Nothobranchius furzeri: one gene and its partners. The protein of the gene in region 2 purifies or fractionates together with the protein of the main gene of each other region. This does not show direct contact. Links are inferred from orthologs where the notes say so. Each region holds a gene or a part of one and is shown on either strand. Other genes may lie near its edges. The genes, in order: phf5a, sf3b4 and ilf2.

The links.
Region 1: the proteins of sf3b4 (region 2) and phf5a purify together in Homo sapiens (affinity purification with mass spectrometry; 6 studies listed by BioGRID and IntAct, with this or other methods). This does not show direct contact. The link is inferred for Nothobranchius furzeri from reciprocal best matches to the Homo sapiens genes SF3B4 and PHF5A.
Region 3: the proteins of sf3b4 (region 2) and ilf2 fractionate together in Homo sapiens (co-fractionation; 3 studies listed by BioGRID, with this or other methods). This does not show direct contact. The link is inferred for Nothobranchius furzeri from reciprocal best matches to the Homo sapiens genes SF3B4 and ILF2.

The regions. Positions count from the first base shown.
Region 1 is NC_091756.1:28,019,778-28,023,528, reverse strand, and holds the start of phf5a (PHD finger-like domain-containing protein 5A), read right to left. Parts: upstream 2,457-3,751; 5' UTR 2,355-2,456; coding exon 2,303-2,354; intron 2,014-2,302; coding exon 1,990-2,013; intron 344-1,989; coding exon 177-343; intron 107-176; coding exon 17-106; 3' UTR 1-16. Other genes in the region: l3mbtl2 (lethal(3)malignant brain tumor-like protein 2), read right to left, coding at 3,395-3,627, 3,704-3,751.
Region 2 is NC_091759.1:1,629,829-1,633,579, reverse strand, and holds the start of sf3b4 (splicing factor 3B subunit 4), read right to left. Parts: upstream 2,258-3,751; 5' UTR 2,023-2,257; coding exon 1,989-2,022; intron 1,553-1,988; coding exon 1,424-1,552; intron 1,339-1,423; coding exon 796-1,338; intron 702-795; coding exon 531-701; intron 306-530; coding exon 159-305; intron 64-158; coding exon 1-63. UniProt on the Homo sapiens protein: Component of the 17S U2 SnRNP complex of the spliceosome, a large ribonucleoprotein complex that removes introns from transcribed pre-mRNAs.
Region 3 is NC_091751.1:23,258,213-23,261,932, forward strand, and holds the start of ilf2 (interleukin enhancer-binding factor 2 homolog), read right to left. Parts: upstream 2,888-3,720; 5' UTR 2,735-2,887; coding exon 2,730-2,734; intron 2,417-2,729; coding exon 2,357-2,416; intron 1,730-2,356; coding exon 1,687-1,729; intron 1,560-1,686; coding exon 1,455-1,559; intron 1,367-1,454; coding exon 1,289-1,366; intron 1,049-1,288; coding exon 946-1,048; intron 553-945; coding exon 487-552; intron 252-486; coding exon 135-251; intron 1-134. UniProt on the Homo sapiens protein: Chromatin-interacting protein that forms a stable heterodimer with interleukin enhancer-binding factor 3/ILF3 and plays a role in several biological processes including transcription, innate immunity or cell growth.

The DNA of each region.
Region 1 (3,751 bases), on a different chromosome or scaffold from region 2:
GGTGTTTCTCCTGTCTTCACCTCTTCTTGAAGCCGTACTTCTTCCTTTCATAGAACAGATCTGTCTTGGAGCTGCCCAGGTTTACGATCTTGGGACAGCCATCTCGCTGCAGAGAGGAACAAAATATTTAGAGACGTTCCTGCAGACACAGCTGGGCGTACGAGAGGAGGACTCACATCTTTCTCCTGGATGGTGCACTCTTTGCAGTAGTAAGCGTCAGACACGCCGGGACCTCCGCAGATCACACAGCGCCCCTGATAGGAGCCGTAGTTACACTCATCACAAATACGCACCAGCGTGCACGGTCGCACGTAAGAGTCGCAGATCACACACTTCCCATCACCTGGAAGAGGAAGAGAAACTAAGCTGGTGATGGGAACAATAATTATTTCTACATTTACTAATAAAGTGAAAGTGCTTCTGATCTTATTAGGTAACTGTAACAATCACAAGACTGACCCGCCGTCTCTTCTGTGAGTGTTTGGAACGTTAGGAAGAGTTTCAGTCACGTGTTTTTAAGTGTGAGTGGTTGTGAAACGAAGTGGGAGAGGAGCCAAAGCTGCACTGGAGGTGTTGGATAAGTGAAACCGGAGATCTGTTTAACTGCGACTTTTCCTATTCGACCTAATGGCTTCATTGACTTTTCTCAAAGCAAAATGTGGAAGTGACATCTTTCTCAGATTTAAATCTGAGCCTTGATCTGTGTGTACAGGTGCAGACTCTGCTCAGCTCGTGTCCTTCACCTAAACCAACTTCTGTCTCAGGGTCCCATCTGGACTCCAATGCACCAGAATGCCACGTTTGGAGTTTCTTTGATAATCCTGCAACATTTGCAATAACTTTAAAATTTTCCTGTCGGGTGCTTTTCCAGATTTTCTGGTTAAGTTGGCAAGTGTCCAGACAGGATGTCCACAGGTTTGAAAATTTCTGTTAACACATTCTTCTGTTGTCTCTTTTGTCCCAGCTGGGACACGCTGAACTCAGTGGATGGAGAAACTAGTTTTAGTGAAGTTCAGTGTTGAGAGTTTAACTTCTCTCAGACTAGTTTCAGTCTGGTGAACATCTTGGTTTGGGTTGTGACCTCGTTATTATTCCTCATGTCCAGCATGTACTGTCTAAAGGTGATTCATGTTTGCACGGTCTGTGTAGAAAATATGTTTTCTTCACTTACAGCCATACATCTGGACCCTGATTACTGTAAATGACCACCAGATTTTACCTGCATATGAGTCTGGGTCACGGGGGTTGCAGCCCCAGCAGAGATACCCAACCTTGCCTCTTTCTGAAGACCTCCTCCAGCAGGATCCCCAGGTGTGCCTTGCCCAAAGTGGAGGTACCTCCAATGTGTCGCAGGTCGACCTGGAGCCTCCTGCTGGCAGGACATGCCTGAAACGCTTCCCCTAGGTGGAGTCCAGGGGACATCCATACCAAATTCCCAACCCACCTCAGCTGGCTCCTCATCTTTAAAGACATCAGTCAGTCAAAAGCTCTGCCACGTGTAGCATATGATATATGCTGCCATCCCAATTTTGCATCATCACAGGATTCTGCCTCACTTTCAAGACCAATCCCAGTCTTTGTCCTCGATATCCAAAATCCTAACGATGACCTGCATATCTCCACCTCCACCCTAAGGCCTCGTCTTCCTTTTCCTTGTTGACACCTCAGATCATTTTCAAATTCTCTTATCTAAATTTATGTTTGATTATTTTAAAAATGCTGCTTAAATTTACATTGCATTGACTTTAAAATTCATTACGGATTTTACATTGGCATGGTTTTTTATAAGGTGGGTGTTTTTAAAGTGCCTATAAATAAAATCTAGAGGTTTAACAGCGTTTATGATGGTTGGTTCTTTTTAGCCGCCTTTACTCCAAGGAAATCAGCTAGATCTTTGGGTTAGAATTAGCCAAAAGCACAACGTTCTAGAGGAAAACCTATAACAGAAATAGACTTTACAGTAAACGTGTTAAAAGTGGAGACACTTACACTTCTCGCAAAGTCTCCCGATAGCTGCGGGAGGAAAACAGAACAGTCGTTCAATTAAACGTTTCAATTTTCAGGATAAACGATAAATTTGTACTTCTCTATGTTCAATACTCAGTTAAACGGGTTTAAAAACCATAAAATTGTTAGTGTCAACAGAGATGAAAACCGTAAAGACACGTCCAGCTCCGCTACTCATTTCAGTATTTATGCTAACAGTTAGCTTAGCAGCTAACACATGGCGCAAATCAAACGTGTTTCTGATATATCTGTGTAGTTTCAAAGGTACCGAACGACATAAAGTAAAGAAACATACCGACACCCGCTTGTTTTCGACAGAAGATCAAATCTGGGTGATGTTTAGCCATTTTCAGCTAACCAACGACGGCCGAACGTAATTCAGTTTTAACCTTTGACCGGCGTGCAAGTGTCGAGTTGAGTCGCTACCACCACCTAGTGCCTTCACCTTGTAACTACACTCTTAAAAAACGGGTTTCAAATAAACAAGGACATTGGGTGAAAATGCTGTCATTAGCCCAGAATTTAAACAAATTTCCAAGTTTTATGTTCACTAAAATTCTTTATCCCTCTGCTCCAGAGGTGATGCCTCATCCTGATACGAGCTGCAATGTCTCTGAGTTACCATAGAACAGCAGCAAAGTTAATAAAATTACAAAAATCCCTGGGTTGCTGACACTGTCTCAAAAGGTTCAACAACAAATAATGAAGAATAGGGAACATTTTTATCCAGGTCCATTTTATTATTTTCTTTTCAGTTGTTGTTTAACCACTAATCAAAAGCCAAGATGGATTTTCAGTATATATTTATTACTTTTGTCAGTTTCAAATCATTACAATGACCACTGTGAGTTCTTCTTTAACAGAATTATACCAACAAACATTAAAACAGTTAACTTGGCTAATATGACCAGCCAGTGAATTAGTCTAACTAGTGAAACAGGTCCACATTGCCATACCGGCTCCTGGTCTATGCAGCCAGGATCAGCCGGTTTTCATCTGTTCACCTACTGGTCTGACTCTTACTCCCGACTGGATATTTGCTCACAAAAACAAATCTGATAACGAAACAAAAACAATGACTTGATCACTAACAAAAGCTTTTGAGGAACTGGGTGTAGCTAGGGTGACCTTGGGGGAGGCGAGACAGTTCTGAACTCTCTTTTTGGGTCGGAGGGTCTGAGAGTTTATAAACAGCAGAGATTCATGAGACATAGCTCCAGCCGTCTTTTGATTCACATCTGTTACCATCTCAGAACGTCATCTACAGCAGCCGCTTATATCTCCATCGGTTCAGCTCCTCCTGCAGTGTCTTGTTGTGTTGTTTTCCCACATCTCTTCCATGCTCCTCCCATTTTCTGGCCTCCTTTTTTCTGGGGTTTGTCTTTTTTTAACTCCGCTCAGCTTGTCCTTTATGCTCGCCTCCATTTTCTGCTGTTTCTCTTTTCTCTGCGGTCTGATGGATCATGTCTGCCAGTGGGCTCTGCTCTGGCACCTGATGTCCCGACTGGATCATCTGCTCGGCCTTCTCTTGTTTCACTTCACACTGCGAGACTTTTTGAGGCTGGTCTGGGGGGTTGATAAGGGTCTCCATCTCCTCCACCTTCACCTGCACTCTAACGACTACAGAGACACAACCCAGTCACACAACAATGATCAAAAATGACCTTTAAACCAAATTTGAAGAGCCTTCACTTACTCTCTCTCTCCTCTGGTTCAGCCTTCAGCTGGACGAGCGGCGCCGCTG
Region 2 (3,751 bases):
CGGCACCATAGCCGGGAGGAGGCATGGGGGGAGGTCCTCTCATACCTGGAGGCACAGGGTGGGCTTGGGAAAAAAAAAAAAAAAAAAAGAAATAACAGGTTAAAAACAACTTTCATTTAAAAAAAATTGTATTTTTGAGAAAATGCCACAGTGCTCACCCATGGGGGGTCCATACGGTGCTCTGGGAGGCATGCCCATAGGAGGTGGGGGCATGCTGGGGGGCGGTGGAGCTCGAGCCGATCCTGGTGGAGCAGGTGGAGGCACCATGCCAGGAGGAGCAGGCGGCATGGGCATCTGAGGCATACCTGTGGGCCCGGATCAAACAAATAAAAATAACTCATTCAGGGCTAACAGCTGCATTTTAATAACCTGACATTTAAATTGAAACATTATTGTTTTTATTTCTTCACATTTGAAGGAGATGACTGAGGTTGATCCTGCACAATTTTATTAATCGTTATTGGACTTCTTAAAGCTAAAATGGGGAGCAGAGACTTAAATTTTCAGGCTTTTCTGCAACCGAGTTATACCTGGAGGCATGCTGGCCGGTGCGAAAGGTGGAGGAACAGCTGGAGGTCCACCAAGAGAAGATGGAGGACCTGGTGTCCCTGCTGATGGAGGCATGCCCATAGAAGGGGGCATCGTTGGAGGCATTGATCCAGGGGGAGGAACGTGAGGAAAGGCACCAGGAGGCGGCAAACCTGCGCAAAAAAAAAAACAAAACTATTATATAATTAACCCAATAAATGTAGAAAGGTACTTCTTTATCGGCAGTTAAGATTAGAGCAGTCATACCATGAAGAGGAATCCCGGGGCCCATTGCGGTTAGGAGTGGCGTCTGTGCAGATGGTGGGGGCGGAGCATCTGCAAACAGCTGATGTGGCCTGTCTGCCTGCGAGAGAGGGTTTTGTGCAGCTAGCAGTCGCTCTGCCGCTGAGCCATGGCGTTCTCCTTTAGAATCTTTCTTGAACGCGTACGACACAGTGATGGGCCGGTTGCACAGGTACTGGCCATTCATGGCCTCGATGGCGGCGTCGGACGCATCAAAGCTGGCAAAGTTGATGAAGGCGTAACCCTTGGAGTTGCCGGTGTCTGGGTCTCGCATGATCTTTGGAGTTTGTAGAATAACGCCAAAAGCACTGAACGTGTCGTAGAGCAGTTTTTCATCGATCTCCGGGTCCAAGTTCCCGATGAAGATATTAGCGCCAACATCCAGGTTTTTGTTGTGGGCGGAGGCCTTATTCACGCGAATCGGTTTGCCGTAGAGCTTAATCATGTTCATGATTTTAATGGCATAGTCAGCATCTTCCTCACTGAGGAACTCCACAAATCCATAACCTGAGTGGAACAGTTTCATTTGTTATGTACATTGTTACAGTGAATTTTAGGACTTTCATCCCATCTTGAATAGCCTGATTCTCACCTTGATGTTGACCTGTGACCCGATCTTTGGGCATGTGTGTGTTGACAACAGGGCCAGCCTGCAGAAAAAGCTCCCATAGCAACGGCTCTGACACCTTCTCATCCAAACCACCGACATACACGGTGGCATCTGGAAACACAAGAAAATACCTATTAAGGAAAACGGTGTTTACATTGATAGGTGAGCATTGCTACATGCTAATGTCGCGAGTTTTTAAGGCTAACTTTAGTTGTTTAGTGGTTCTAGTCCTGACTTGGAATAATCTCTGCATTTCAAATAAACAACATAAAACTCCCGTATGCTATCGTGAAGTCAAGCATTAAGTAATACAAGCATTAAGTAATACAATTAAAATAAACAAAAAACGGCTAACTTAGCTAGAAGCTAGGCTAACGAGACCGGAGACTTCCATGTGTTTGAGTACGCATTTACCCCCAAAACACGGGCTAATTAGACAGCTAACATTGGTGGGAAAGAGCGGATAAGAATTTCAATTGTTATAAATCAAGAGATATCGCTAAATAATGAAGGTGTAAGCGTTAAACCATTTAAACAATGAAATTACCTTGGTTTCTTTCTGAAATTGGTCCCGCTGCCATGTTGAATGACCAACGCTGGGAGAGCGTTGTGAAGGGAAGGCCCGCCTCTTCCGGTAAAACCCAACAAAATAAAATAAGATCAAATAAATTAAAGTAAAAATAAACTAATTCTTCTGTTTTTGTAGTTACATAAAAAATTGTTATACTCTGATTACACTAAAGACCCAGACATTCCTAAACAAAAAAAGACAGCAAATAAATGAATGTTAATTAAAAACTTGAAAGGCAATCAAAATCACTAAGTTTCATTTGAATTGATTTGATAGTTTTTTCTGGGATATTTTTAGTTGTATGGCACTTAACCATTAACAACAAATTCAAAACAAAGCCACAATTATTTTTATTATTTGATTTATTTCATATACATATAAATATACTAAAGGTATAAACATGGAATACAAAGTGTTCATAGAAAATACACACATTTAGGGTCTCAAAAATTTTAGAAAGTAACTATTTTTTATATATATATATATATATATATATAAAACACACATTAAAAATAGAAACTAACATCATGCACCAAAGACAAAAAATAAAACTGTTGCCAAAGCTGTTTATAAAATGAATTTAAAATAAGCATCAGTAAGGGAGCCTTCATAGATAATAGTCATTAAAATAACTGAAAGAGCTGAGAATAATTAATGGCTTGTGAAGAAAAATACATCTACTGAACTTTATTTTAAAAAGTAAACCTTAAAAATAAACAAAATTAAAGACCTCCAGGCTCACTCATTAAACCTGCTCAAATACACTTATTACATTTTCTTTTTTTGGCCCCTAAAACGAGAACAGAATTTCACAACACAAACCAAATAATGCAACACATATTTCACAAGCTGATTCACTAAAACCCGGTGTTCATAAACACAATCGCCTTCTTTTAACCTTCATAATATTTGTCACATAATAAAGAAATAATTTGACATTATGGCATAAATATGAGAAAGTATAGCACTGTCATGATACTTAGAGATAGTTTGGCTAGCAGGGAGCGAACCAAGTTGCTTCCTGGTTAGGAAGTGTTGCTTGGCAATCACCAAAGACCACAGAAAGAGAAAGGTTTAGACTAATTAAAAAAAACAAGTTATAGGCTGTTTTGCAATATGAGTACTTGTTTAAACGTGTGTACTATATTAATTGTGAAATGTCATTGGCGTTAGCCCGTGTACTGTTCCAATACCAAGTACGCATCATGGCAAGTACGCTCAAAGTTCCTGGATGTGTTCGTCCTTCACCCATTACAATAAAGTATCCATCTTTGGACTTGGACCAGAAAAGTATCCCATAATGCATTTAGTCACAAACCGTTATACCACAAATAGATAGTAAAGCTCATAAAAATAAAAATAATTACGTCTTCAAAGGGCCGCTCAAAAGACTGGCTCTTTTGAACGAAGCAAAGAAGTCTCAGTGAGAGTGGAAGGAGGGGGGCTGTTCATGATGGACGAAACCATAATGCATATTATTGAGCCTTTTATATACTTCAGCCTGATAATTTTGTTGTTTTATTTCATATTTTTTAGCAGTAAACCAGTTTTTTTTCGCTTGAAACGTTGTCGGATGGAATAGTCAATTAATCAACAGAAGCTTAGAATAGAACACTTAACAAAAAAATATTTAGCCTTTAAAAAAGAGAGGCAGTTGAATGCACAGAGTATGCATGTGCCGGCGCATGGTCAGGATGGTACCACCTTTGACTCAATTTGAGCCAGGAAAACCCTGGTTT
Region 3 (3,720 bases), on a different chromosome or scaffold from region 2:
GTACAGATTAGAGATCAAAGGTTCAGTGGAAAGAACCGTTTAAAACGGAGAAGTCCTTAAAAAACGAGTGTCTGTGTGTGTGCATGTGTGTGTGTGTGTGTATGCATGTGTGGGTGTGTGTGTGTGTATCATACGGTGCAGCTCTGGATCCAGCTTGCGTAGGTTGGGCGGGACAGTGGTGATGAGGATCTTAACGGTTGCATCAGCTGAGCTGATCTCAAAGCCCGTCTCATTGGTCAGCATGGAGAGAACTGAAAGCGCGGGTGCACACACACACACACACACACACACACACACACACACACACACACACACACACACACACACACACACACACACACACACCATTAGTGTTTATTACATCATTAACTCACTAAAGATGCTCACTCTGTTTCTTGAGGGCACTCTGACCAACTTCAGCCTTTAGGTAAGGTCCAGAGCTGCAGATACACCCCCCCACACACACACACAGACCCACCCCCGTACCTTCTGCGGGGTCCTGGGTGCGAAGAGTCTCCACCACCTTGTTCCCGAGCGCAGCCACTGCCTCCACTGTTAGATTAAACATGAAGAGCAGAGTCAGCTTTAGCTCCAGGTGTTTAACACTGGACTCAGTATTAATCACCACTCTACCGACGGTATTCGGGGTTTAAATGACACCAAGTTGCCTCATAAACACATTTAGGATTCAGACACTTCTGTTCTCGAGTTCCTGTACGGTCTGACGAGTTTCGTCATCACTGTTAAGCTTAAAGAGGCTAAAGCTAAACAGCTTAGCTGCTGGATAGCCGGTCCGGTCGGGCTGCATGATGGGACTAGCCATGTATTTACCAACACGAGTCCAGATGTGCTCAGTGGTTTCACCAGAACATCTGTTGAAGCTGTTCCAGCAGGATGAGGCCCTAGTGACGGACCCAGGGCTGGTCTGAATGAACAATGACTCACGTGTAGGGAGGATCTTGAGGATGACAACGAGGTCAGCGACGTTGTGTCCAGTTGTCATGGTTCCCTTCTTGTATGAACCCACCTGACGAACTTCTTCTATTTGCTGTGGACAGATAACGTAAGCATGCGGGATGGCTTTGATGCGTTCTAAAAGATAAAACCGCTCAGCTACATAAAGCTCAGCCTGTGGGAGGTCTAGGAAGGTCATGACGGAAGAGAAACATTTAATCCCAGATTAGGACGTGACAGCAAACACAGATCATTACAGCCTTACTGACACCAACTCATTTACACCAGTTTCAGTAAACATGGCAGCTCTACAGGTCAGATGTTCACCACTCACCACTTCAAAGCTACCAGGGGCAACAATCAGGTTGTCGATGACATTATTGATCTTTGTGACCAAAGACAAGATGGAAGACTAGAAGCAGAAGGAAATGAAGACGTCAGGTAAGTAACCTACAGCACGATGAGACCAGTGAGGTGTTGAACTGGAATACCTAGCTGACCTGTTCTGCAGGTGAGGGGCTCAGGTCCTGGTTCCTCTTCAGCAGACACTCGCTAAACGCCGTCTCATCAGGAGCAGGTTTCACTCTGGGGAAGGCCATCTCACACTGGGGAAGGACAACAGTCTGCTTCAGAACCACAAAATGGACCGGATTCTACCAGATGCTAGTTGTAGCCATGGTTACTGATTATTCCTGCATGCTGTTCTGTTGTCTGTCACATGCGTGAACTCACCACATAGAAGTCAAATGGGATGTGCGGGACAAAAGGACGGTACCTGAGCGGGACAGAGAGAAGAACGGAGAATCGGTGGACTGGCACAAATGTCCCTACTAGTCAGAACCAGAACGTCTGACCGGGACCTTATGAAAGCTGATGTTCAAACCCAAAAAGTAGATTTTAACAATGATTTGGAGGTTTCAGTTATAACCAAGGCAGCGGTTCTTTTTGCTTCAGCACAATAACCAACAATCCGTCTTAGCTTCATCACCAGGACCACGCACAACATGAGCTGATGATTCCAGACTTTACAGCAGCTTTTTAAGGATCCAGAAATCAATGGATTGTTTCATTTGGGAAAAAATGAAGTTTAAAGAGACAGAAACAGGACGCTGCTTTCAGACAGGATGGAAAGATCTAACTGCTCTGAAGAAGTCCTTCTGGAGATGTTCTGGGGAGAGTGCCGTCGTCCTGTGTAATCACAAGAGGCTTCTTTTTCCACTTCTGAAGATCTTTCTCACTTAGACTTTTCTACTCTGATGGCTTATGGGTCCGAGTTCCATCCAGAAGCAGGAATCGAACCAGCAAACTTAAGACTAACTGTCAGATACTTTCTACAACCAGATCAAGGACCTGACTGAAAGAACCAGTATGGAACAGGAACAGAGATCAGTAAGGTACTCACCCCTGGACCATGCCTCCCCGGGCTCCGAAGCGGAGTCCTCGGCCCCTGCCGCGGTCTCCTCTGTTCACAAACACAAAACCCAGATCAGTCCAGTGCGCTCGCTACTGCCAGACTAAAGGATAAATAAAAACGCTGATCTTAGCTAACACACGTGTGTTATAGTCCTAATTCGCTACCTCAGTGTTAACTTGCTGTCGATAAAACGTAAGAGTTATCAGTAACACTGTTATTGGAGGAATAAATAAGTAACACCACGTTCAGAACGAGACTTTAACAGAAAGCTATACCGAGCTAATGGCTAACAGCTAATGACACTGATTACAGGCTAGTTAGCGTAAAGCCAACACAACCAGGTCCGGTTAGTCAGCGTTACCTCATTGCGTACGACGTTTTGATGGTTTGATGAGAGAAAACAGGGAGAACGGTTTGATATGGTTTAATGAATGAGCGGAGGCTAACTGCGGAAGGGACTAGTGTGGCACAAAGAGACTTCTGTTTCCGGCGGAATTGTTTCTTTCTTTCTGTTTTACGTCACCAACGCCGTGGTACATTACCGCCCCCAACTGGAATGGAGTGTGGACCGCATAGATATCACATATTATAGCTAGATGCGCTGTTTTTTTTATTTATTGGTATATTTTTTTGCTGCTGCCATAGCGTAACTTTATTCATTCACGTCTTTCTGGTCAAGTCTCTTTTTTAACTTTATTTCAATCTTCGTTTTCACATACATTCAGTTTACAATGTAACCTACATTCAACGTACTGAAGAATATAACAAATACAAATGACCGCACTTGAGGAAAATAAAAATGACATTTAGAACTTGCAACATTTACCGCATGGCACTACCATAAAATAAATTATGATGCAAAATAATAATAATTAAAACAAAAAATAAAATAACATCAACAACAAACAAAAAACGTTCAGAGGTTGATATTTCAGCATTATAGTTCAAACATGTTTGATTCATTGGACTGTAATTTAAAGAACAAGAAACTCAGACATTGTTTCGCACAACTCAGTTATAGATTGGTTATTTTCTGAAAATACTCTTTGAGATGTTGTAAATTGTTTTATTTAATTTTTAAAATGATTAATGTTAGGCTTGCTGTTTTTCCATTTAGTCTTATGTATTTGGTAATGTTCACCATTTTGGATATCTTTTTTGGAAGAGCATCCATGTATATCAGTACTTTAGATTACATCATTTCTCTCAATATTTACCAATCGATAAACATCCTCCTCAAAACCAAGTGTTACTGAACACGAGAAGAAAAAGGTGCTCAATAGTTTCACATTCTGTCATACAAAAGATGCACTGATTCTCACCTGCGCTGTTCGTCAATGGACCCTGACGTC